Linked DNA regions of Oryctolagus cuniculus. The protein of the gene in region 2 interacts with the protein of the main gene of each other region in a pairwise test. Links are inferred from orthologs where the notes say so. Each region holds a gene or a part of one and is shown on either strand. Other genes may lie near its edges. The genes, in order: CNOT4, UBE2E1, ZNRF1, RNF111, RNF25 and ZNRF2.

The links.
Region 1: the proteins of UBE2E1 (region 2) and CNOT4 interact in a two-hybrid assay, tested with the Homo sapiens proteins (2 studies listed by BioGRID). The link is inferred for Oryctolagus cuniculus from reciprocal best matches to the Homo sapiens genes UBE2E1 and CNOT4.
Region 3: the proteins of UBE2E1 (region 2) and ZNRF1 interact in binary tests that used the Homo sapiens proteins (3 or more experiments, as listed by UniProt). The link is inferred for Oryctolagus cuniculus from reciprocal best matches to the Homo sapiens genes UBE2E1 and ZNRF1.
Region 4: the proteins of UBE2E1 (region 2) and RNF111 interact in a two-hybrid assay, tested with the Homo sapiens proteins (2 studies listed by BioGRID and IntAct). The link is inferred for Oryctolagus cuniculus from reciprocal best matches to the Homo sapiens genes UBE2E1 and RNF111.
Region 5: the proteins of UBE2E1 (region 2) and RNF25 interact in binary tests that used the Homo sapiens proteins (3 or more experiments, as listed by UniProt). The link is inferred for Oryctolagus cuniculus from reciprocal best matches to the Homo sapiens genes UBE2E1 and RNF25.
Region 6: the proteins of UBE2E1 (region 2) and ZNRF2 interact in a two-hybrid assay, tested with the Homo sapiens proteins (2 studies listed by BioGRID). The link is inferred for Oryctolagus cuniculus from reciprocal best matches to the Homo sapiens genes UBE2E1 and ZNRF2.

What each region holds. Positions count from the first base shown.
Region 1 is NC_091434.1:171,313,175-171,317,118, reverse strand, and holds the start of CNOT4 (CCR4-NOT transcription complex subunit 4), read left to right. Parts: upstream 1-1,144; 5' UTR 1,145-1,399; intron 1,400-3,944. UniProt on the Homo sapiens protein: Has E3 ubiquitin ligase activity, promoting ubiquitination and degradation of target proteins. Involved in activation of the JAK/STAT pathway. Catalyzes ubiquitination of methylated RBM15.
Region 2 is NC_091435.1:159,786,927-159,790,384, reverse strand, and holds the end of UBE2E1 (ubiquitin-conjugating enzyme E2 E1), read right to left. Parts: intron 2,261-3,458; coding exon 2,113-2,260; intron 1,290-2,112; coding exon 1,192-1,289; 3' UTR 501-1,191; downstream 1-500. UniProt on the Homo sapiens protein: Accepts ubiquitin from the E1 complex and catalyzes its covalent attachment to other proteins. Catalyzes the covalent attachment of ISG15 to other proteins. Mediates the selective degradation of short-lived and abnormal proteins.
Region 3 is NC_091449.1:57,474,958-57,479,255, reverse strand, and holds the start of ZNRF1 (E3 ubiquitin-protein ligase ZNRF1), read right to left. Parts: upstream 2,801-4,298; 5' UTR 2,169-2,800; coding exon 1,742-2,168; intron 1-1,741. UniProt on the Homo sapiens protein: E3 ubiquitin-protein ligase that plays a role in different processes including cell differentiation, receptor recycling or regulation of inflammation. Mediates the ubiquitination of AKT1 and GLUL, thereby playing a role in neuron cells differentiation.
Region 4 is NC_091443.1:81,824,062-81,828,236, forward strand, and holds the start of RNF111 (E3 ubiquitin-protein ligase Arkadia), read left to right. Parts: upstream 1-1,375; 5' UTR 1,376-2,052; intron 2,053-4,175. Other genes in the region: SLTM (SAFB-like transcription modulator), read right to left, coding at 1-12, 1,028-1,189. UniProt on the Homo sapiens protein: E3 ubiquitin-protein ligase. Required for mesoderm patterning during embryonic development. Acts as an enhancer of the transcriptional responses of the SMAD2/SMAD3 effectors, which are activated downstream of BMP.
Region 5 is NC_091434.1:20,765,457-20,769,548, reverse strand, and holds the start of RNF25 (E3 ubiquitin-protein ligase RNF25), read right to left. Parts: upstream 2,801-4,092; 5' UTR 2,628-2,800; coding exon 2,587-2,627; intron 1-2,586. Other genes in the region: STK36 (serine/threonine-protein kinase 36), read left to right, coding at 3,476-3,559. UniProt on the Homo sapiens protein: E3 ubiquitin-protein ligase that plays a key role in the RNF14-RNF25 translation quality control pathway, a pathway that takes place when a ribosome has stalled during translation, and which promotes ubiquitination and degradation of translation factors on stalled ribosomes.
Region 6 is NC_091447.1:21,603,827-21,607,765, forward strand, and holds the start of ZNRF2 (E3 ubiquitin-protein ligase ZNRF2), read left to right. Parts: upstream 1-1,139; 5' UTR 1,140-2,999; coding exon 3,000-3,489; intron 3,490-3,571; exon of another isoform or gene 3,572-3,769; intron 3,770-3,939. UniProt on the Homo sapiens protein: E3 ubiquitin-protein ligase that plays a role in the establishment and maintenance of neuronal transmission and plasticity. Ubiquitinates the Na(+)/K(+) ATPase alpha-1 subunit/ATP1A1 and thereby influences its endocytosis and/or degradation.

The DNA.
Region 1 (3,944 bases), on a different chromosome or scaffold from region 2:
TTTTTTTTTTTTGTCCCAGTAAGATTAGGTTCATAGACCTAAAAGTGCAACGTGTTTCCCTACTCCCCTTCTTTGTTTTAAACATTTTCCTTATCAGTTACGCCCCACCACCCATTTTAAGAATGTCTTTTTTGAATGGATTGCTGCCTGTCCCTGACCGCACCCTTACCTTACACTAGAATAGCGACCCCGTTTTGACCACCGCTGTATCCCGAAAGTTTAACACGGTGCCAGACACACAGGAGGAGCTCCGTGAGTATCAGAGGCACGAACGGGCAAATACACTTCACACGCTAAAAGGACTGCTCGGAGCGCCACTTCCAGCAGAGTGCGAGGGGGCCAAGCCGAGGGACCACTTTGGGATCGCGCACTCCTGGGTGCTGGAGGGGGCTGGGGTCGCGTTCCTTCACCTCCCCCCCCCCCCCCCCGGGCCTGCAGCCGGTGCGCCGGGAGCACTCGGCGGTTCAGACAGGACCCCGGCCTAACGCTACCGTGCACCGAAGTCCGCACGGTGTTCTTCAGTCCAGAAACACACGGTATTCGGAGTCCATGCATCTCGCCCGTGCAACCCGCACAGGACATCCCTGCTCCGGAGCTTTCGCGCGGCGGCTGGGCTCCAGGGCGGTGCCCCCGGGACTGCGCGGAGACGGGGACACGAGTTCAGGCTCCGGGTGCGCACCCACACGAGTTCAGGCTCCGGGTGCGCACCCACACCCACGCCGGTCTCCAGTTCTCGCCCCAGGTCGAATCCCGCGCTCTGCCTGCACCTCCTCCCCGCCCCCTGGAGAGCCCTCAGTTGGGCGCGGCGGCCAAGACAGGTCCCCGGCGCCCCTCACATTGGCTAGGCTCGCCCCGAGTTTCGGTTTACCGCATTTCAGCACACGGAATCGCTAACGACAACCGCCGAACAAATGACATTGGGGCAGCACACGCCGCCTGAGGAGGAAGCAAAACACGAAGAAAGGCGTCAGTCTCACAGCCACGTGAGGTGGGCGAGCCCGTCCGCCCTCAAGGCTGAGGACTTCAACTCCCAGCTTGCCCCTGGGCGGGTACCCTCCGAGGACTACAACTCCCAGGGAGCCGCGGGAGAGGCCGCCGCAACCTCCCACTCGCCCGCCGGCCGCTCCTCCCGCCCCTCCCCCGCCCCTCCCGGCTGGATCGGCGTGCGCCTGCGCACCGGAGGCCAGAGGAGTCTTACCCAAATGTAAGATGGTGGCCCGTCTGGCTGTGGAACCCACCGAAAGCTGAGAGTCTCCCTCTCAGCCGTAAAGGTCGGACTCGCTGAAGCAATCAGGCCCGGTTCTGAAGAGTTTTCTCCCCGACACTCGTTCAGTGGTCTCTTGTGAGGACGCGGCAGCGCGCGGAGTCGTCTAAGGGAAAAGCGAGGCAAGGCAGGCGGGTGAGTCTATGCGGGGCTGGGCTTAGGGGAAACCCGGGGCTGACCGGCTACGAGAGAGCGGAGGCTTCGCTGGGACTGTGCAGGCCGCACCCCCCTTCCTCCCCACCCCCCGCCTCATCTCAGCCTCCTCCTCCTCGGCCTTCCTCCTCCTCCTCCTCTCTCTCCCTCAGCCCTCTACGCCACAGCAGTTAGCACCAGGAAAAGGGAGCGGGGCAGGAGGCAGCGCGGCGGCCAGCGCCGACTCCCCTTCGATCGTTTCTGTAATTGGGGAGGGCGAGGCGGCTGCCGCTCCCCGGCGTCTCCCCCCGCTGCGATTTTCTAGGGGCAGATCCTCGGGTCTCGGTCCTCCCTGTCTCCCCGGCCCCTTTCCCCTCCCTGTCGTCCTTTCGCGCCGGCCCCGGTCCCCCCAGCCCAGAGCCATCACTCCCACTCTGACCCGTGTCGTCGCCGCTGGCCTCTGGCTCCGCTGCTGCCACTCTGGAGTTCGCCCTCGCCCCCTGCGGCGCCTCCAGCCGGTCCCCCCGGGTCTGTCTGCCTCCGTGGGGCGGCTTCCGATGTGCAGCCCGGCTTCCGTGAACCGCATCTGTCATCCCGCAGCCGCCCCTAAGAGTCTCGCTCGTGCCGCCGCTGCTCCTTGCGACCCACCTGTTCCTCAGCCTGCTGGGGGACTGCCCGTCCCTCGCCTCTTCCGACACAGACTTCGGGCGAGAGGGCTGCCCCGGCTCGGTCCTGGAGGAGTGAAGGAAGTTGGGAAGTGACTGGAGCGAGGTAGCACACTGTGGAGCGATGGGAGTGGGGGCTGCCGGGGAAGGAGCGGCTACGTTTGGCTTTCGGCGATCTGTGTGTCGAGGACTCGCTGTGTTGTCTTTTCTTTCCCTCTCTGCACTGCTTTTTCCATGCTGAATTGCCTCTCCCCAGGACACTTAATGTGGGCTCTGATTATACCAATAAGTAGTAGCCTGAACATTGCAAAGTAAGATAAATCTGGTGTACCCCAAGGCTCGTCTGCGAACTGCACACCCAAATATAGATGCTATTCTGATGAGATGTGAGTTACGGACCCCTTCTGTGTTCAGAATTGATTATTGACCAAGTGAGTGATATTGATGTTCAGCTTCATTGAGGACATATTTTATTTATGGTTTCAGTGGAAAATTCCTCTCCAGCTAATATCAGGTTTATACAGTATTTTTGGATTTGGAAAGTTCTGTTAGACACTTCTAGGGTGATAGTTATCCCAAAACGTTATCTTCTCTTGAAAATCTATTATGTATCCCAGAAGAAAATCTAGTCTTTGTAAGCCTAAATCACTCATATCTATCTATCTATCTATCTATCTATCTATCTATCTTTTTTCTTTAAAAAAGAAGGGGGCTGGGAAAAGTAATGACAAAGCTGTACGCCTGTGTGTATTTGGTGACAGTCCCTGTGGTTGTTGTCTGCAATAGGGAGCAGAAAACTACAAGTGAGAGGTGGCTTGCGCTGTCCATGTTTTGAAGAAAGCAAAATTGAAATATTCTGACTAATGGCACAATGGGAAGAAAGAGCCTTTCTGCAGACCCACTGTGGAAAAGAACTACCAGAAAAGCAAACAGGATTACGTAGATAAGATACATACATGTCAAGTTTAAATAAGACATTATGTTCTTAAGATATGTGTAAGAATGTTTATAGTAACAATCTCTTGCAGGAATCCATCTCTTACTTGCAAAAGTAAGAATACTTTAAATGTAAATAGAATACAGTTTCCCTTTAGTTACTTTTGCACATTACTGGCTTATTGTAATTTTTTGCAAATTTTACCTGTAAGGCTTGAATCTTAAACCTGGCATTATATTTGCTTGATTGTGATAAATGGTCTGTTTTACCCAAAGTAAGCTAAGATTAGAAAAGCTGTTTATAAAACTTCTTCTTTCCTGTCAACTATTTAAGTCCTGATTTGGGGAAACTAAATAAATCCCTACTCTTGAGAATTGGAAATAATTTATATAACAAACCTTGTCCTAGGTTGTAATTTAAGGTTTAAAAAAATATTGCTTAAATGCAGTTTATCAGTACAAGTGTATTCACTACAGTTGCTCTTCATCTCCTCAGTAATAGCTCATGCTGGTGGAGAAGCTGTCTACTTTGAACAATCCATACACAGGTTTAGAAACCCTTGGCAGTCATACTTGGCTGGGTTGTAGCAGTGTGTTCTAGGAGAGGACTGTTTGTCTGGCAGAAGGAGGAAATGATTTTAATACATCTTTTTCTTTGGTAAAGCTTTTTTACTTCACTAATTATTTTCTCAGTTTTCTCCTCTCTTACTTTTTGCTGGTAGTCATCAGATTCTTAGTTTCAGTCCTCTAAATTAAAAAAAAATGAACTTACTTTGGATCTTCAGTCTGCCTGAAGAAGATACTTAAAGGTTTTTGACATTTGGATGGAAAGTAGGGAGCTGAGATTTTTAATATTTTTGTATAGTTTTTTAGTTGTGATGGTATGATCATTACAATTTCATACTTGCATGGTTTCTTCTGGTAATTTGAAATACTCTATGCCACAA
Region 2 (3,458 bases):
CTATCGCTCAGCTGTTGAGGCACACTCCTGCTTAGCTGGGGTGATTACTGATCGTTTACAGTTTGCTTTTTTTCCACAGAATGCAGCTTAGATCTGTGTTAGTGGATTCTTTTAAAATGCTGTAGTCAGTGTGTGTGGCCCTGGCTGGGTTTCTCTGGAGGAGACCCAAAAGCAGAACTGCTGGGTTATGGGAGGTGTAGCCTCAAGTGGGGTCAAACTGCCCTCCAGTGTGGTGCCCATTTAGCTATCCTTGTGACACAACCCGTTTCTCGTGGACTTGCTCCCACAGCACCTGCAGGTTAGAAAATGCTTGTAAAGAGATGCAGGACACTTCGTCTCTGAAAACCTGTTATTTAACCTTCTCTAAGACGTCTCAAAGTCTACTGTTGTATAAAAGTATCTATTCTAACATAGGTAAGTGCTATTTATTAAGTATTTTTAATTGTTGTAGAGCAAAGATCTGTCAATAAAGACAAAATAAACCCAGCAGCACCAGGTGGTTGTTTTTAATATTGTTTATTAGCACAGTAACAAACGAGGACTTAAGTAGTCCACAACATATAACCAATCCACCGAGCAACTCCTATCCACGCCTCACAGGTAACAGCTTAAGGTATTTCACTACAGGTTTCACAAGTCCTGATTCAAACTTTTAATCTTTTCACAATAAAGTAGATTGGCATATAAAATAAAATACATCAACTACTCATTTCCTATATGGTGTCTTATAGCCACATGTCCATTTTATATATATGAGATGAGTCTCTCTAAAAACTCTGTTAAATATCAATATTCTCTTGCAAGAAGAGAAAAACAAATTCCAATTTTTTTAAACAAAAGTATGTAGTCATAAAGGGACTTTACATCAATGGCCATGTATGTAACCTGTACAAAATTAAGCTGTTTTACAGACTACAAGCAACCAAACCCAAATGTCAAGATGTACATTCTTTTCTACATTTTAGCTAATACTGCAGAACTAATGACAATTTTAAAAGTCGCTATTACCAATTCTGTCTACTGTAGCAAGATACCTTAAGTTACAACAAAATCTTAGGAAATAAGACTGAATAATATCTGTTATAGAAATACCCTACTCTTTACCAACTCCCACCCTCCCCCATCCCTTCAAAATCATAAGCAGCTCTCTTCTGTGACAGACAAGTAATGTAAGCACTGTGAAAACCCCGTTTATGTGGCGTATCTCTTGGTCCACTGTCGGGCCATCCGGTCGTGCTCTGCTCTGTTGGTCATGTACTGGGTGGCGATGCTGCCCACCAGAGGGTCGGCTGCAAGAAGAAGAATGTAGGTTACTCCGGAGAAAGGAAAATGCAGTTTCAACTCTACAGTCAGACACCACTCTACTGTTCTGGGTATTTTTCCTTCCAGACTTTACAAAACACTGCATGGAGGAGGGACAGAGTACTGGTCTGGCTTTACTGCTTGGTTAACACCATTTCTCAACCAACACCACCCAGTAAGTCGCTTTTGCTCTTAACATGTTGGGCGGGCTCAGGGCTACAGGCTACAAAGGACGTCAGCCGTGTGGTGGCGATGTGCACTGTGTGAGCTCTTCGTGGCCGTGTGTGGTGGCGATAGGCACTGTATGAACTCTTTGTGGCTGTGTGGTGGCGATAGGCACTGTATGAGCTCTTCGTGGCCGTGTGTGGTGGCGATAGGCACTGTATGAGTTCTTCGTGGCCGTGGCACTTCCAGTTGCCAGCCAACACCTGGGCTGCAGTTGAGAACAGTGTGTTTCTGGCAACTTAACACAGCATCTTTACATTTACATTAGCTTATCCAGGGAAAACTTTTAATGGAATGCAGTCCCAACAAAATCACACTTCAGTAGTCACTAAGTATTTAGCAAAGAAATCCCATTTCAAAATTGAGCCCTGCCTCCGTAAGCAGCTCTGGCACAGTGAGCCAGGTGAGGTTAGGACAGACTAGACTCTTCAGTTTAAAATACTTTGTCCTAGAACATACTAGACAATGGTGAAGTTGCTCCCTTTGCCAACTCATCTCCATTAGAACTTTCTCTGAAAAGCAATTTCATTTTTGTCTTTTTCAGGTGAGGAAAAATAAAACAAGGTAGAGAATTGTTAACCTTACCAGGATTACAGTCTGTAAGAAGTGAGCAGATGGAAAGGAGGACTTTAGAAATAGTTAGTGCTGGACTCCAATTATCTTTCAATATGTCCAAGCAAATAACTCCTTGACTGTTAATATTACAGTGATAGATTCTTGTCCGAAATGTAACCTAAAAGAAAAGTCAAACAATAGCAACTGTTTAGGAATAACACTGTGGGACTGCTGTTTGGGGTGCCTGGTCCTGCGAATGCACCCAAGCCACCCATGCGGGAGGCCAGGTGGGGTCTCAGCCTGGCAGAGTGCACTCTGGCAGGTTCGCACGTTTGGGAAGCAAACCAACAGATGGAAAATCTCTCTCTAATAAACGGAAAGTTAATATAGTTTTAAATGTTCATTGGTCCTGTGTCAGGAATTGTCAATTTTAAAAGTAATGTCTTCAAAAAGCTAAAAGTTCGGTACCCTCCTGAGTTCATCTTCAGCAAGGTTACTGTTTAAATATTAGCATTTTGAAGCATGAATAGCTAATTGTTTGCTGACCTCTTGTGTTAGCTGGTAGTACTACACAATCTTCAATACCTCATAAAACCTGAGGTACAACATAGTCTGCATGTGATAGAATGCTTAGTAGGCAGTGGCTACACAACCAAAAAGCTCTTCAGGATTTGCGTTACACCAGTTCCCCCAGCCACCCTGTCTACCAGAACCCCAGGATTTATAGAGGGGTCTCCATGAGTGGGAAGCCCAGTGTGGGCAAGGACCAGTCAGCATGAGCCACAGAAGCAGGAGTTATTTTAATTGGTGCACATCATGTATTTCCACAAATAAAAATCAGGAGACCAAAGTAAAAATGACCAGAGGCTGGCTTTTTAGCCCAGCAGTTGAGATGCTCGTCTCCATGACAGCAGTGCCTGGGTCACTTCCGGGCTCCGGCTCCCTGCAAATGCGGACCCTGGGTGGCAGTGGCGATGGCTCAGGTCATTGGCGCTCTGCCACACACATGGGAGACCTGGGTCCACCACCCAGACCTCAGCTTTGGCCCAGCCTGGGTGGTTGCAGGCATTTGGGGAGTGAACCAGTGGATGGAAGAGCTCTGTCTCTCTCTCAAATATATAAAACAAATATTAAAAATAGAAACAGTAGCCAGAAGTGACACTGGTGTATGGGATGTGGGCACCCCGGGTGGTAGCTTGATGCACTGGGCCACAAAGCCTGCATATAAAACAAATATTAAAAATAGAAACAGTAGCCAGAAGTGACACTGGTGTATGGGATGTGGGCACTCCGGGTGGTAGCTTGATGCACTGGGCCACAAAGCCTGCCCCCCCCCCCCACTGAGTTTTTGTGCTTAACAGTTACCCTGAGAAAAC
Region 3 (4,298 bases), on a different chromosome or scaffold from region 2:
GTGTGAAATCCTGGAATCCAAACTGTAAGCTCCTAACGTTGGCATGGAAGCTGGTAGTGGAATAAGGATAAAGAAGTTTCCAGTAAGAGACAAACTTCAGAAATGTTACAGAAAGAGAACTCCCTTTCTGCATTCCCCACCCAGCCTCTGTAAGACGCGTTTTGTCATACACAAAATTCTAACTCTACAGGGCTTCCCAATTTAAAACAAGATCCTAATGACAGTTCTTTTTCACATGAAACCACAACCATCTCGCAAATACAGCTGACTCTTTCTGTACTAAATTTCGTGAGAAAGATTTTTAATTTCAAAACGCCTAATGCTGATCAACTGAAGGTGCTGAAGGCAGTCATGCCTGCGCCTCGCTCAGGGCGGCCTGGGATGCAGGTCCGAGAAGCTCTCCTGACATCCAGAGGCCTGGGCAGGGCTAAGACACCAGCCTTGCAATTCAAAAGCCACGTCCAAATGTCACTATTTCTCTGCCCAAATAATTAAAGTTTATAGAAAAGACAAAAAAAAAAAAAAAAAAAAAGGCAAGACTATTTACAGGAAGAAAAAAGAAAGATCTAAAAAGGTCTACCTTATTTCAAAACAGCTGTAACCAGTGACCTGACAGATCCTTCCATAAAGTAACCTAAGAACAGGAGCAATCTTTCTCCCACACAATAGTTAATTTTCCCAACTCACCCAAAGGAGTCTGAATATGCAACTTCTTCATTCAATTTGCCAATCAGCAAATGGCAGCCCCACACCCCTTGTGACCGGTGTTCTAGAAGCCTGTCCTGGCTTCCCAGGGTAGCCAAGCAGACAGTCCTGTCTTCCTCCAGAGGCCCCGCCAGGCCTTCCCCGCTCTGCCCAGCAGAGCCTGGGAAATCCCCCTCCAGCTCTTTGCTGGCCTGCTACCAGGAGTTCACAAAATGAACCCAGCCCCATTCTTTGAATCCTCCTCTTCCCAGTCATGTGCCAACAGCCGGGCAATAACACCCCACCTTGCCAGGCTCTCGGTTGCAAAAAGACGCAGATTCACGGGAAGAGCAAGGAGTGGAAGGAAGAAGATGGAGGGATGGGAGAGTGGCTGACCAAGCCTGCTTCGTGCAGCACGGGTGACCGGAGCTCTGGTCCCACACAGAACCCTGAGGGAGGCTCCCTGCCTGGGCCCTGCCTACAGCAGGCCACACCTGTCTGTGCCAGCCGCCTGCCAGCTGCTCCATTTTTAGCAATTCAAACAGATTTCCAGCCGGGTGGCAAAACGGGGCACCCCACCCTCTCTCAGCCAGGGCGAGGGCCCTAATCCAAGCACCACTTGCCCCCAGTTTCATTTCTTCTCACACTCTTTGTCTCTTTTCACACTCTTCCACCGCTTGGTGGGAGCGGATCCAGCTGTCTGCTAACGGTGAGGCGGGCACCGTGCTGCAAAGGCAGGAACGAAGCACCCAAGCAGACTTGCTGAAAAGCCAGACAAGCCCTCTTCTCCGAGCAAGGAGATGCCGATAAAGGGGACTTCCACAGGCAGGTTTCACTCTGCCCATCCACAAGCGAACACATGCCTGGAGTCCTGCAGCCTCGCAGACAGCCACTCATCTACAGGGTGGGGACCCATTCATCCCTTGGCACCAAGAACCCAAAGAAAGGCTGACACATGCAGGTCGCATACTCCGTATCCAAACCTCGGAGCGCGCGAAGGTTTGGGGCGCCCTCTTTGCACTCCACCCTCTGAGGCCTCCACCACCCGTGGACTCACCACTGTGCGAGCTGAACCACCTGGGTGCGATGTGCAGAGGTAGAGCATCCGCCAGCGAGGCTCGGGAGCCCAGGTACAGCATCCCGTCTCTATGGTGACCGCCGCCAGTCTCCTGGTAACCATTGCCATGGGCAAAGGTGGAGTCGGACGCCGACCCTCCGCCGCCGCCGGGCGCCCTCTCGGAGTCGCCGGTGCCCCGGGAGGCGGGGGTGTAGAGGCCAAAGGGCACCCCGCCGGCCGTGCTGGGGTCCATGCCCATGCCCGCCACCGAGCTGACCGAACGGCTGCGCAGCCCCATGGCTCCGCCGCCCGTCCTGTAGTGCCCGAAGTGGGGCGCCCCTCCCGGCGGCGGCACGGCGCTGTCATCGGTGGAGACCCCCGGGAAAGGGCCTCGAGAGCGGGCTGCCGTGCTCTGCTTTCCCCCCATGCTCGCCCGGGCCCCGATGGGGCGGGAACCTGGGAGCCGAGACCCTCCCCCACTTCTCAGCAGCGGGGGGAGGGCTGGGCGAGCATAAAGGGGGAAGGAGTCAAAAAGGAGACCAGGAGGGGGAAAAGGGAAAAAAAGGAAAAGAAAAAAGAAAAAAAAAATTCCCGCGGGGAGGAGAAGCAGGCGGGCAGGGACCTCAAACTAAGAATTTAAAACGATCCAAGCCAAACGCATGTTTCCCTTCAAGGTCCAAAGAGGCGCAGTCCGGCGCGGGCTCCGCGCGCCACAGGCCGCCCCCGGGCTCGGAAAGCCGGGCGAGCCGCAGGGAAGGAGGGAGGGAGGCGGCGGGCGGGCGCAGGGAGGCGCCGGAGGAGGCCGTCCGCCCCACAGGAGGCGGCGGCGGAGGGCTGGGGGCGCCGGGCGCGTCCCCCGCCTCAGGACGCGGCGACCATGGACGGCGGCCCGGACCCCTCAGGCCGCGGGAGGGCTCGGCGCTGGGCGGCCAGGCGGAGCTCTGGAAGCCGCGGTCGCGTCGCGTCGCGCTCTGGCTCCAGCCGCCGCCGGCCCCGCCAGCCGCGCCGGCCCCTTGGTCCCGGGCAGCGCTCGCCGGCGCTCCTCGCCGCCGTGGAGACAATGGAGGGCGGCAGAGCGCAGGCGCGGCCCGCGCCCCCTCCCCCTCCCCCCCGCCGGGTTAACCCCTTCGCCGCCCCTGCGGCGCCCCGGCCGCGGCAGCCCCTGCGCTGCCCGGCCGCCCGCCCTCCTCCAGCGAGCCAGGGACGTGGATGGCCTGAGCCAGGGGACATCGGCCATGCAAGCAAGACGTCTTTCCCAAGCAAGCATTCGCAAAGAGGATAATTATTAAAGGGGGAAACCACTTATGGGGGAGGGGCGACCACGGTTCCAAGGGGTGGGAAGGGAACCCCGGGAAGAATGAAAATTATTCACTACGCCCACCTGGCTCTGAGGGTCACCGGTCGAGCTCCCCTCCCGGTCCAAATTTGCCCCCACAGCACCCTCTGGTGGACGTGGTGTCCAGTGTCTTGGAGGTTCCCCATCCAAGGACCCCAACATCGAGAAGCTTAGCATTTCGGGGTGTTCGCTGTTTCCAGATAAACAGCGCCCCGGGGCACTTGTGAATCCCAGGTTTTGCTGACATTAAATCAGAACTTCCTATCTGGGGCATTAAGCAGATGGGTCGATTCCTTTGCTAAAAAATGCAATGCTCAAAATCAATAAATTTATTATTAAAAATGGAAAGGTATAGACACGGAAAAAGAATATTTGGAAACTCCTTTGTCCAACACGGGAGCACTGTTTTGTTTGCCAAGCATTCTGGCATCCACCACAGGGTCAAGGACGCGGTAAGTACTCAGGTATTTGTTGACCCACCTGAATTTTGCAACCAAGAATGCCCTGTCCTTTTGTCACATAGTCACATCCATTCATTCATTGAGCAACGAGTTTTCAGGCACTAACTGCTGGCTCCGAGCACCATGATTTCCCACTTCTAAACCAAGAGCCAAAACAGGTTGTAAAAGAAAACCAAAAAGAACAGCTGGCTTTTGCCAGCATTTGGAGAGTGAACCAATGGGGTGAAAGCCCCCCTCTCTTTGTTCACTCTGCCTTTCAAGTAAATTTAAAAAAAAAATCCAGGTGAATGATCTAAAGAAAAATGGAAAAGCTTAAATTTAATCTAATTTCCTCCTAGGAGAAAAATTTTGAGGAATGAAGAGGGATGTTCAGATGCAGACACCAGATAGATCCCTCACAGACAGGCCCCGTCAGCGGCCTAAATACACACCACCAGATCCCTCACAGACAGGCCCCGTCGGCGGTCTAGATACACACCACCACCAGATCCCTCACAGAAACGCCCCGTCAGCAGTCTAGATACACACCACCAGATCCCTCACAGACAGGCCCCGTGGGCGGTCTAGATACACAATAACCATTGCAACCCACCCCTTTGCTTTCCATTTTATTCATTCCACACCTTTTTAGTGTATTTAACCAAATATTTAGTATCTTGTAAGTGCTAGGCACTATACTAGATTCTAGGATACCGTGGAGAACAAGACAGATAAACCACCTTTTCTCACAAATTTCAGAACCATTTCACATGCAAGCGGA
Region 4 (4,175 bases), on a different chromosome or scaffold from region 2:
CTCTTCAATAGCCTACATTAGAAAGAGAAGTTAATATGCTACACAGTCTATCTAAACTTATTTTATAAAAACGAAATGAAAAAAAAAATTAGCAAACCTCAAGCCTCAAGACATTAGAATTGCCAGTCATTTCATAAACCGACTTCAAAAAACAAACAAACGAAAAAAGGGCAATTAAACTACACGAGAGAGAAACTTTCGGGGGGGGGGGGGGGTTGGTTACAAATCGTTAGGTATCAAAATCACACGGAGCTTTAAATTCTACCGAGTCGACAATTAAATGTCATGCCGAACAAAAATCTAAATACGCTCTACTGCGGAAAAGGTGCTAGCTACTGAAGTAAATAACTAAGGAGTGTTCCTAATTTCCATAACGCAAACTGACTGCTCTTCTACTACTATTCCAACGCTCACTCAAATAAACCAGAAAGCAGATCACTACGCTGATGCAAAAACTAAAAACCCAGTAGAAAACAAAACCTTTCTCTCACCCACCCATCAACTCCCACTACCAGTCCCCCTCCCCCAGAAGGGGAGAAAACGGTTGGGCACAATTAAACGGTAACTTCGCAGAAGTCACCAAAGTAACCATTCCCTCCGAGGCCAAGAAGTGCACGCGCTCACCATGGCTCAAGGCTGGGGACCCAGCGACCCCCAGGTCTTCACGATCGCCCTTGGGAGGCCGCGCCGGCCAGCCGTAGCCTTCGCAGCCTGGCGGGGACGTCCCGGGGGAGGGGGGACGCGCTCGGCTGCTGCGGTCGGTCCCAGGCGGCTCGCGGGCCCCCGGCGAGCCAGGCCAGGCCCGGCCCGGCCCGGCCCAGCGCGCGGGGGCGGGGGCGCCGCGGCAGGGTCCTCGCCCTGCACACACGCGCGCGCGCACACACGCGCGCGCGCGGCCGCCGCCCGGGACCCCCTCGCCGCTCCGCCCCGCGGCTCCCGGCGGCTGCGGGCGCCCGGGCAGCTGCGGCGGAGACGGGGCGCCGAGACGCGGCCTAAGCTCGCCCTCGCGGACCACGCCGGGTCTCACCTGCTTGAGTCGGGAAATGAGCACCGTCTTGACTCCAGTGATGTCTAAGTTCCGCCGCTTCAGCTCGGACTTAAGATCGATGACCCGCAGATCGGTGATCTTTTTACCTTCCGCCTGACCTGAGGCGGCCGAGGCTGCCACAGCACCGGCAGCGGCAGCCATCTTAGGAGAGCGTAGCGAGTGGGCTGCAGGGCGGCGGCAGCAGCGCCAACTTCCACCCGGGCCTCGGCGGCCGGCGGCGCCGCACAGCGCTGCGCACAATGAGCCGCTAGCCCCGCCCCCGGTCCGCCACCCCGGCGCAACCTGCAGCCGCAGCCAGCACCCGGATGACGGGCGCGCCTGCGCACTGCGCGGGGAGGGGCGGCCGGCGCGTACGGCCGCGGCCACCTGGGCGCTGCGACCCTCTTGCGTGGGCCGGGAGGTCAGGCTTGTCTAACCGCACCAACGTCCGTCGCACCGCCTTTCCCCGCCGCCGGGCGAGGCGTTTTCCTGCAACGTCTCGAGTCTTGAGCCAGAACGAGGTGTTGGGCACTACCCCGCGTTCAAAGTTCACGCGTGCCCCAAAGGGGCGTGTGCGCGCCCTGAACCATTCCCAGGGAAACGCTTGGTCAGCCCTGCTGAGTAATCGAAAACAAAGGTGGCCAGTGTGCACGCACGAGCTAGGGTCCCCGGGCTCCACGCAAAAGGCCTCCACGGAGCCCAAAGAACAGGAAGGGCCGGCCTGGGTGACATGTCCCGCTGTCTGTCCCGGGCAGTTCCGCCTGCAGCCCACCTAAGCGGACTTGGCTCTAGGGTTGCCCTGGCTCGCTTGAAAAACAGGAAAACCCACTCTCCGTGTTGGCCCCGGTCTGCCATCCTTCGCAGGGGACCTGAAGGTTCGACACGAAGTTATTCACTGACTGAGGACTTCCGTTTTTAAATTCTGCCAGAGGCTGTGTGCACGGTTTCGCCCACCCCCCCCCTCCCCCCCAAACTTGGATTCCGAGATCACTGACCATCTTCTTAAGGAGGACCAGCCTGTACAAGTGAGTACCTATCGGTAACATTAGCCAGCGTTATTAATCATCAAAGCAGACGCATTTATAGAACCAAACCATAAATTCGGTAAACTGAGTAGGATGCACAATTAACTATACTTGCATGTCCTGGTTTTGCAACTTGAATTGATGAGGCCTGACTTATTTAAGGTTGGGTTTTTTTCTGATTGACTAACGAGTTCCAAAGGAGGAAGCCTGGGCGTTCTAAAATAATACTTGACATTTGCGTAGTTCTTTTAGGGCGAAGGAGGCATTTTGACATACAATAACCCCCTTAATCCTTCCCAAGTCTGGCAGGAAAATCTCTGTAAGGCTTAGAGAGATTAAATGACTTGTCCGTGTTCACACAGCTGGTGTGTGGCAGAGCTATGCTCAAATCCAGTCCTCCTGATTCCAAATCCAGCTCTGTCTGCTACAACGTTGGTTTCACAGTCACAGTGTTTTAGAATTCAAAAGCTCCGTAGAAATCTTCTAACGCAATCCTCTCCTTTTTTATAGGAGAAGATCTTAAGGGATTTGACTAGGGACCCACAGCTAATTATTGGCTACATTTACTCTAAATCTCAGATTTCTTCCCAGAGTCTTCCCACTCAGCCACTATTCTCCCATCTTCCGTAGACACATTTTTCTTTTTTAAAAATATATTTATTTGAAAGGCCGAGTTACAGAGAGAGAGAGAGAGAAAGATCTTCCATATGCTGGTTCACTCTCCAGACGGCTGCAACAGCCAGAGCTGCGCCAATATGGAGCCAGGAGCCAGGAGATTCTTCCCTGTCTCCCATATGGGTGCAGGGCCCCAAGCACTTGGGCCATCTTCCACTGCTTTCCCAGGTATATTAGCAGGGAGCTGGATTGGAAGTGGAGTAGCCAGGACTTCAACCAGCACCCATATGGGATGCTAGTGTCAAAGGTGGCTAATTTACCAACTATGCCACAATACTGGCCCCCTGTGAACACTTTTAAGAATGGATTATGCTAACCAAAACTAACAGTGTGATTGAAAATAGAAGGAAAAGAAAAGTAATAGAGTTTTAGAACAAAGATTACTGTAGGGGCCAGCCCTGTGGCATAGAGGATAAAGCCACTGCTTGCAGTGCCGACATCCCATATGGGCAGCTCCTGGCTCCTACCTTCTGCTCAACACAGCTCCAGCTGTTGCAGCCATCTGGGGAGTGAGCCAGCAGATGGAAGACCTCTCTCTCTCTGTCTCTGTGCCTCTGCCTCTCTTTAACTCTGCCTTTCAAATAAATAAATAAATCTTTTAAAAAAGAGATTGCTGAGGGGACATAACAGCAAAGCTTTACGTGTGATTGCTCTTAGAATAGTAGTGCCATTCTATTTGGAATTTTTACTTGCAAGTGGTTAAGTGAAAAGCAAGAAAGCAAACATGGCAATAGGTTACCAAAGTAAGTGAAGCAAAATATTAATTATTATTGGAAACAAATGTTGCAAAATGTTAATTAGGAAACATAGGGCTTTTTAAAAAATAAGGTTGAAGTTATTTACCATAACTTGGTTGAACATAACAATTCATCTATTTTTTATAATAGGGAAAAATAAAATGGAGAGAAGACATCACTTTTCACATGCAGGATATTTAATTTTGTCATTTAACCTATGATTCTTATTTCAAAATTACCTAAAGTAACTTACTAGTTAATGAATATTTCTTTAGTACAATATAATGTTTCAAATACATTTAGGTGAAGGAACATGATAATTTTTCTCAAGATTCAGTTTATTATTTGGATATTTAATTTTTCCTAAAGCTAATAGAGCTATCTCCCATTCTTCACCAACGTCCTGGACCATGTTGTGGACAAAACAAAGCTCTGAGCTGCTCCAGTCATGCTTATCTTTTTATATGCACTCATGTTTGTATACCAGGAACTTCAGAAAGTTCACAGAAAATTTGCCCTGTCTTTTATTTTTATTTTTTATTTATTTGACAGAATTATAGACAGGGAGAGAGAGACAGAGAAAGGTCTTCCTTCCATTGGTTCACTCCCCAAATGGCCACTACGGCCAGCGCTGTGCTGATCTGAAGCCAGGAGCCAGGTGCTTCTCCTGGTCTCCCAAGCACTTGGGCCATCTTCCACTGCCATCCTCCA
Region 5 (4,092 bases), on a different chromosome or scaffold from region 2:
TTCTGTTTCACTCTATGGTTGGTTATCCCTTGTTGACCATCTCTCTGGTCCAGAAACAGGGCATCCATCCATGGGCATCAGCTTTCCACTGCTGCTCCTGTCTTTTCCTTTGGCACTGTTGAGCATGGATCCAAGTGCCTGGCTACTGTCTATACACTGCCAACACCATTCTTGCCAAGCCTTCTCCAGGAGATACCACTCCTAACAGAAATCCAGGTAGTGTACAGCTGTGTCGCAGCAGAGCCATCAGCCTTAGCTAACAGGTACCAACTGCTTACCAGCTACGTGGTCTGAGTAGTCACTTAACCTCAGTAAGCCTGAGTTCCCAATCTACCACGTGCCGCTAAAGTCACCTACTTTCTCGGGTGACTCTGAGGATTAAAGGTGATGTGTTTATGTAAAATACCTAAGAGGATCTGGGCCACAGAAGCTAGTCTATGTTCTCTTTTTCCCTGCTTGCATTAATCTTCCCTTTAACAGCAAAGAGGGAAGGATGTGGTTAGCAGAGTACTCCGGATCTAATTATGATCCTGGCTGGCTGGTTGATCTAGATCAGCCTGTCCAGGTGAGGACCCATGGTCCTGGTGTAAATTACAGGACACACAGTTTTAAACACAGAAGCAGCTGTTGTCATGACACTGGCGACGAATGTTTAGTTGCTATCCACAGTAGTACCTGGGTGATAAGCATCTCTTGGTATCTGTGGGAGACTGGTTCCATGACCCTCTACAGATACCAAATGCAGATGCTCCAGTCCTTGTATAAATTGACACAGTATTTGCATACATCCTATGAACCTCCTCCCACATACTTTAAATCATCTCTAGCCTACTTATAAGACTGTAAGACAATGTAAGTAATATGCGAACTGTTGTACTGTACTGCTTAGGGAACAATGACAAGAAAGTTTATACATGTCAGTACAGGGTCCCGCTCCAGCCCACCCAATACTTCCGGCGTGCAGCTGCTTCAATCCGTGGATGGGGAACCTGCGGACATGGAGGCTGACCGTACACAGAAGCAGGCGTGCTTCAGTTCCCTGTGCTGCTCCCTCTCCACCAGGAGCACCTCTAGCAGGAGTTGTTATCAGTGGTTCTTTTTTTTTTTAATAAAAAGCTTTAGGCAGAAACTTCACAACACAAAGCTGTACACCTCACAGATAACAAATGAGTGGTTGCTCACACAGGACTGGGGAGGACTCAGACCACAACAGGCTATCGGCTACAGTCACTGCGGCTCTCTCCATGGCTCAAGGTGTCTCTACAAGCTCCCCCGAACAGTTTGAAAACCACTCATCTAGGTGGTCAGCACTGGCTGGGCTCCCTGAACCAGGGTACAGTGAGGTGCAGCCTCAGTCAAGACTGGCCCTTCAATACTCTGCCTACCAAGCTACGACTTGGGTCCTGGATGGAGGTACTGGCTGGGATGGTGGTAAGGTGATGACAGAAAAAAAATGGGAAGATGAGAAGATCTGGAGTCAGACCCGGATTCCCAGTCACAGCTTTGTATCTTCTGGCAAATCACTTCACTTCTGGGCTCATCTAGTTTCTGCAGGTGCCCAGATCTCAAGAGATATGGGGTCAGCGCTGTGGCATAGTAGGTAAAGCCACTGCAAGTCCCGGCGGCTCCACTTCTGATCCAGTTCCCTGCTAATGCGCCTGGGAGAGCAGCAGAAGATGGTCCAAGTCCTTGGGCCCCTGCACCCACGTGGGAGATCCGGAAGAGGCTATGGGCTCCTGGCTTCATATCGGCCCAGCCCTGGCAGTTGTGGCCATTTGGGGAGTAAACCCGTGGATGGAAAATCTGCCTCTCTAACTCTGCCTTCCAAATAAATCAATCTTTTTTAAAAAAGTTATTAAAGCAAAGATGGCTATGTATATTACAAATGCATCCTGATCATCTCAACCATTCTATGATGCAGCTGCCACACCCACTTTTTTTGTTTTTTTAACAGCTGAGGACACTGACTCACAGAGGCTAAATGGCCTGGTTAGCACCACACAGCTAATATGTGGAGTGAACCCACATCGTTATCCTGTTTCCAAGTCCCAGAGTCCTTGGAGGTTCCGGCTTCTCGTTAAGAATGCTCGAGAGAACTAGGAGGGCTTTCTCTGTGTTGTGAAGCTTCACGCACAGGACAGCCCTCGTTAGATCGGCTGGGGAGAGAGGAGGCTGAGGAAGGCGCGGGCGGTAGTGAGGCTGATCCAAGGGGCAAGGGGGCCAGAAGGTGGAGGGCACCGGGTGGGCGAGGTGGGGAGGTCTGATGAGCAGGCATCGCCGGGGCCCCTGAGCACATTCACTTCCAGAGGACAGGACGGGATGGGGTGAGGCCATAGCAGAGGGGATCCAACCGGAGAACGTGCGTCCCGAACTGGCCGGGCCGGCGCTGTCTCCTCGCAGACCGGCGCCCCTTCCACCTCCCGCGCCCAAGTCCAGAAGCAACCCTAGGAGGAGATGTCAGCGTCTCCGCCGACCCTCCTCGCTTGCTCCACCCCCACACGCCCGCCGCACGGAGGGTCTGCGGCCGCCCCGAGTGCCCCCGGCCAGAGCCAGGCCGACAACCGAAGCCCATGCCCCCGAAGTTACCAGTCCTCCTCCCCTGCAGCTGCCGACGCTGACGCCGCCATGTCGCCTCCGGCCCGCGGCCGGAACCGGAAGTGCCCTTGGGGAAGTCGGAGGCGGAAAACCACGGGGGCGGGGGGACGCCAGCCGGGGCCGTTTCTAGGCAACCGCGGACTCCGGGTCCTTAGTGGGACCTGATGGCCGAGAGACAGTTCGGAAGTGTCCCAGGAGGTGCCTATGGACGGCCCACCATCCCTCCCACCACCTCTGAGCGCCGTTGTCCTCGGAACTTGTGACCGGTTCTAGCGCGTAAAATTGGTGAGAACGGAAGCCTAAAGAGACCAGGACTAGGGAGCGAGTGGAGGCAAACTCCGCCAGGCGCAGCACGCAGGCAGCCAGACGGGACGGGGCTGAAGGCCAGCGCCGGCGTCCCTCGGCCAGAGGAGCTTCGAGCTCCTCGGCTGGGGGTGAGAGGCGGGCCCCCGCCAGCGAAGCGCGTGGACGAGGGTCTGGGCGCGGGTGCAGAGGAAGTTGGGAGTGGCGGGAACCAGGGGTAGTCTGGAAGGCGGGGTCGATGGGCGAGGCTGGTTTGAGGGGGGCGGGGTCGCGTGGGCTAGGCTGGGGGGCGTGAGAAGCAGAGGGGATGTTGGGTGGGCGGCAGGGCGCTGAAGAAAAGGAACTCCAGGGAGACGCTCCGGTTGTGCCAGGAGCTCGTGGTCTTTTGGTCCGCTCTGCCTTCCTGTGCTTCTAAGACCTGTTTTATTATGAGAAAGCGAAAAGGCAAGGCGGCTAATGTTGCCTCTTCTCCCCTGCCCGAACCAGGCCTCCCCGATGTGTCGAACTGTCCCTGGATCCGTAGCTCGAAACCACCGCCTCTAACTTCTTCCTTCTGAGAAACTCTGCAGCCACTGTCATGGAAAAGTACCACGTGTTGGAGATGATTGGAGAAGGCTCTTTTGGGAGAGTGTACAAGGGTCGAAAAAAATACAGTGCTCAGGTGGTGGACGAAGAGGGCTGTCTTTTGGGTGGGATTCGGCACCCCAAACTCTAGTGGAAAACAGAGCCAGCGGCATGCATTTATACCGACCTGTATTCTTAAGGGACTCTCTCCTTCCTACATCTTAGGGAGCATGAGCCCTGCAGGTGGATTGCTGGGGTTCAGATCCCAGCTCCACTACTTTCTAGACTTAGATGAGATAGAGGGGGAAAGGAGGAAAGAAAAATGAAGAGGAAAGAAGAGAGTGCAGGTGGTTTCTCCCTTCCTGCATAGTATGATTAAGACGAAAAATAGTATTTATTTGTTTACTCGGTGCACTCGGAACACCTCTCCCAGAATCCACCAAAGCATCTGTTGAGCAGAGGATATATCCTCCTGGGCCAGGATGGGGGACTCCTGGGTAAGGCCAGGGTGCCATCCGTGGGGGAGGTGGAGGTAGGAGACTAACAGGTGTCATGGAGTTACTCAGACGATCTGCAGTCTGAGTTCTGGAGTTCTGAAGTTAGGCTGAGATTGTAGCTCTGTTCAGTGGC
Region 6 (3,939 bases), on a different chromosome or scaffold from region 2:
TGGGTTTCCCACGTGGGTGCAGGGGCCAAAAGTATTAGGGTCATTTTCAACTGCTTTCCCAAGCACATCAGCAGGGGGCTGGATCAAAAGTGGTGGGAATCAGTGCCCACATGGGGTGCCAGCACTGTAGGCCATAGCTTAACTCACTGCACACAACACTTCAATGTCATCTTCAGATGATTCCTCTGTGTACTCAAGTTTGCAAAGCACTCATTTAGACCATCATTTGTCAACTGCAGATTAAAACCCATTAGTGGGTTATAAAATCAGTCCTGTGGGTGGTGAGCAGGATTTTACAAAAGTAAAATAGAATGGAACAGAAAATGGAGTGGCTCCATGTGACATGGGCATTATCTCATAAAGCTTGCTTCAGTTCTGCCAAGGGGTGTACACCCCTGTGGACTGATTTGGACGACATAGTACTTCAGTTTTTGCAGAACCGGAAGGGTTTGTTAATGAAGCTATCCATTTTAAGTGAAGTCTGAACCATTTGTTGGATGATGAAACATCTTGACAGTTTCATGGGATTGCCGTTAGGTTCAGGGATTCAGAGGGCTGAGGAGAGCAGAGGGTGGAGACAGAGCGCCCACCACGAGGGAGCCGTCCAGGAGTCCGAAAGTGACCTCAAGGGAGGACTAGGGAGGAAGTACCTGCATGCACTCGATGATTCATTCTCATTTACTGTGCCATCACAGGTCTCAGGCGTTGTGTGAGACAGAAGGGGTACAGATGTGAGCTCCACCCTGGGTCCCACTGTTTAGTGACAAGAGGTCTAATACTGCAATCCGTGCTGCTCTACAGCACTGAACGGACACACAGAAGGCAGTCTGTGATGGTGGGCCGGGGTAGGGGGGCTGCAGGGGCATCTGTAGGGAGAAGATGCTCAAACGAATGACGACCACATGTTAACGTGATATTCCATGTAAAAGCATTGAGTCGCTTTGCTCTCACACTTAGTGTGCATGTGTACATCCATAACCATTCATATATTCTTCATGTACATATATTCTTGTTCAAAAACGTGATTACCATGCCCTTTGAAAGAATGAGAAAATCATTACATAAATGGCTCATTGCAAACATGGGGAGCGAGGAGGGAAGACCAAGTATTTCTGTCATTTGTACAAAAATATTATTTTCTTTTTTTAAATATTTATTTATTTACTTGAAAATCAGAGTTACACAGAGAGAAAAGGAGGGAGGGAGGGACGGAGGGAGGGGGAGAGAGAGAGAGGGAGAGAGGGAGAGAGAGAGAGAGGCTTCCAATCCCTGGTGCACTCCCCAAATGGCCTTAATGGTGGGAGCCAGGAGCTTCTTCCAGGTCTCCCACATGGGCGCAGGGGCCCAAAGACTTAGGCCATCTTCCTCTGCTTTCCCAGGGCATAGCAGAGAGCTGTATTGGAAGTGGAGCAGTCAGGACTCAAACTGGTGCACATACGGGACGCTGGCACTGTAGGCGCCAAACCCATATTATTTTCACATAGAGGATACGTCAAGGCTTTTCAGCATAGGTGGGTCGAATGTCCCGACCACGCTCGGCAGTCAAAATGCCACTCCATAGTTAAGAACACACTGGGAATTTTATTAAATCCCATTTTAGAGAAACGACAGGATTTTATGGCAGCAGACGCCCTAGGGTTTTAACACAAATATTCCAGGCAGGGAAGCTAAAACCCAAAAAGGTTAAAAAAATTGCTCCCTATCCATAACTTAGCCCTAAGGGGCAGGTGGGATCAACCTTAGCTCTCCCAGCTCCGCTCTGCCCCAGGCCCGGGGCTCCTTCAGGTCCGGTGGGCAGCCGCCGCCTTGGTCCTGTCTCCTGATTCCGCTGTTCTGTCAGTGTTAGCAGCATTGCGGAGCCTCTGGTTTTCATCTCTTAAATCAGCGTGTAAGGTAACACACACCCAAGTCAAACGCTCGGGACACAGGCACAGCCTTCACGCTCCAGCCTGCACACGCTCTTCTCCCGGGTCCGCGGGCCACGTGTGGAAGGAGGGGCCGCCTTCTGATTGGCGCCCCGAAGGACTCTATCCTCCAATCGGCGTAGGGCCAGAGGTGGCGGAGGGGGCGCGCCCTGGCCGGCGGGGCGGGGCCGGCGACTTGTCCATCATCGAGTCCGCGGGTGGTGGCAGCACCTACCACACCGCCTTACCTTGTTGAGGCGGGGCCGGGGCCGCGCGAGGCGGAGCCAGATCGGCGGGAGCCAATCCACGGGACGGAGCGAGGGGGGACGGGGGCGGGGTCTTCGCACGCAGCCCAAACACACGGGCCCGGGCGCACCCTGCAGCCGCGCGGTTTCTCGGCCTTCCGGTGTGAAGCCGGGGGAGCCTCCTCCCTCCTGGGCGCCCCCGCCCTACCGGCCCTCCTTCGGCCTGGAGAGGGGAGGGGGAGGCCGGGAGGCGGTTGCCGGGAAGCGCGCGCCGCCCCTCCGTCGCCTCCTCCCTTCACGCGCCACCCGTTTTCCCTCTTTCTCCGTTAATAACAGCTGGGTGGCGGGGGGAGGAGGGAAGGTGGCCCCGGCGGAGGCTGGGCGGGCGCCTCCCACTCAGCCGCGAGCCGCCGTGGGAGCCGGAGGATGGCGGCGGTAGCAGCGGCCGCCCGGGAGGAGGCGGTGCCGAGGCCCAGGGCGCAGAGCGCGGCGGCGGCGGCGGCGGCGGCAGAGCGCGGCAGCGGCCCGTCGTGGCGCACCAGAACCGAAAGCAGCGGCAGCCGCGCGGCCACCTGAGCGAACCCACCCCCGCCTCGGCCGGCGAGCGGCGCCCGCCGCCGGGCCCTCCCTCCTCGCCTCGCTTCGCCTCCCGCGCCCGCGTCAAGTCACCGGCCTCGGCCGCGAGAAGAGCGCGCGCCGGGCACCGACCGCCCCTCGGGGCGCCGGGCGGCGGCCCTGGACGTGCGGGGGCCCCTGTGGGCCGGCCGCGGAGCCTCGGCCCTGCCCGCTCGCTCCCGCCTTCCCGGAGCTCGGGGCGCCGCGCGCGGGCCCGGCCCGGGGCGAGGCGGACATGGGCGCCAAGCAGAGCGGCCCGGCCGCCGCTAACGGCCGCACCCGCGCCTACTCGGGCTCGGATCTACCTTCCAGCAGCAGCAGCGGCGGGGTCAACGGAACGGCGGGCGGCGGCGGCGGCGGCGGCGGAGCTCGGGCCGCGGCCGCGGGCAGGTTTCCGGCTCAGGTGCCCGGCGCGCACCAGCCTAGCGCCTCGGGCGGCGCCGCGGCGGCCTCGGCGGCCCCGGCGGCCCCGCGGAGCCGCTCCCTCGGCGGGGCCGTGGGCAGCGTGGCGTCGGGGGCCCGCGCGGCGCAGTCCTCCTTCAACATCCCCAACAGCAGCAGCGGCCCGTACGGCTCGCAGGACTCGGTGCACAGCAGCCCGGAGGACGGCGGCGGCGGTGGCGGCGGCGGCAGCGGCAGGGACCGGCCGGCGGGCGGGGGCCCCGGCGGGCCGCGCCTGGTGATCGGCTCCTTACCAGCCCACCTCTCGCCGCACATGTTCGGAGGTACGGCCCCCTTCCCCGCGCGCCCGGCCCCGCACGTGGGCCGCGGCCACCGGGTATTTTTGCCCTTCTCCTTTTCGCTTACCGTCTTTGGGTGCTGGGTCTCCGGCGCCCGGGCCGCTCACAGGGAAGGGAGCGCACTTAACCCCTGCGGTGCCGCGGCCGCCGGTCGTGCACCTGCACGCTCACCCGGTGGCTGCCCCCTGGAGAGCCGTGAGGGCGGGGGGAGTGGAGCAGGTGCTTCTTTAAGACCGACCAGCATCTCTCGTGGTTGTGGCTTGCAGCCCCCAGGGAGGCAGGAGGAGACCCGGTGCCAAATGTGGTTCTGTCTGGGAACTTGGTGTGGGGAGCGGCACTAAGGGCCCGGAGTCAGGGGCTCTCCGACATTGGGGGATTCGAGAAAGCGGGGAGTTAATAGCTCTTTGGAGCGAATGGTTTCACCTACTGTGTACT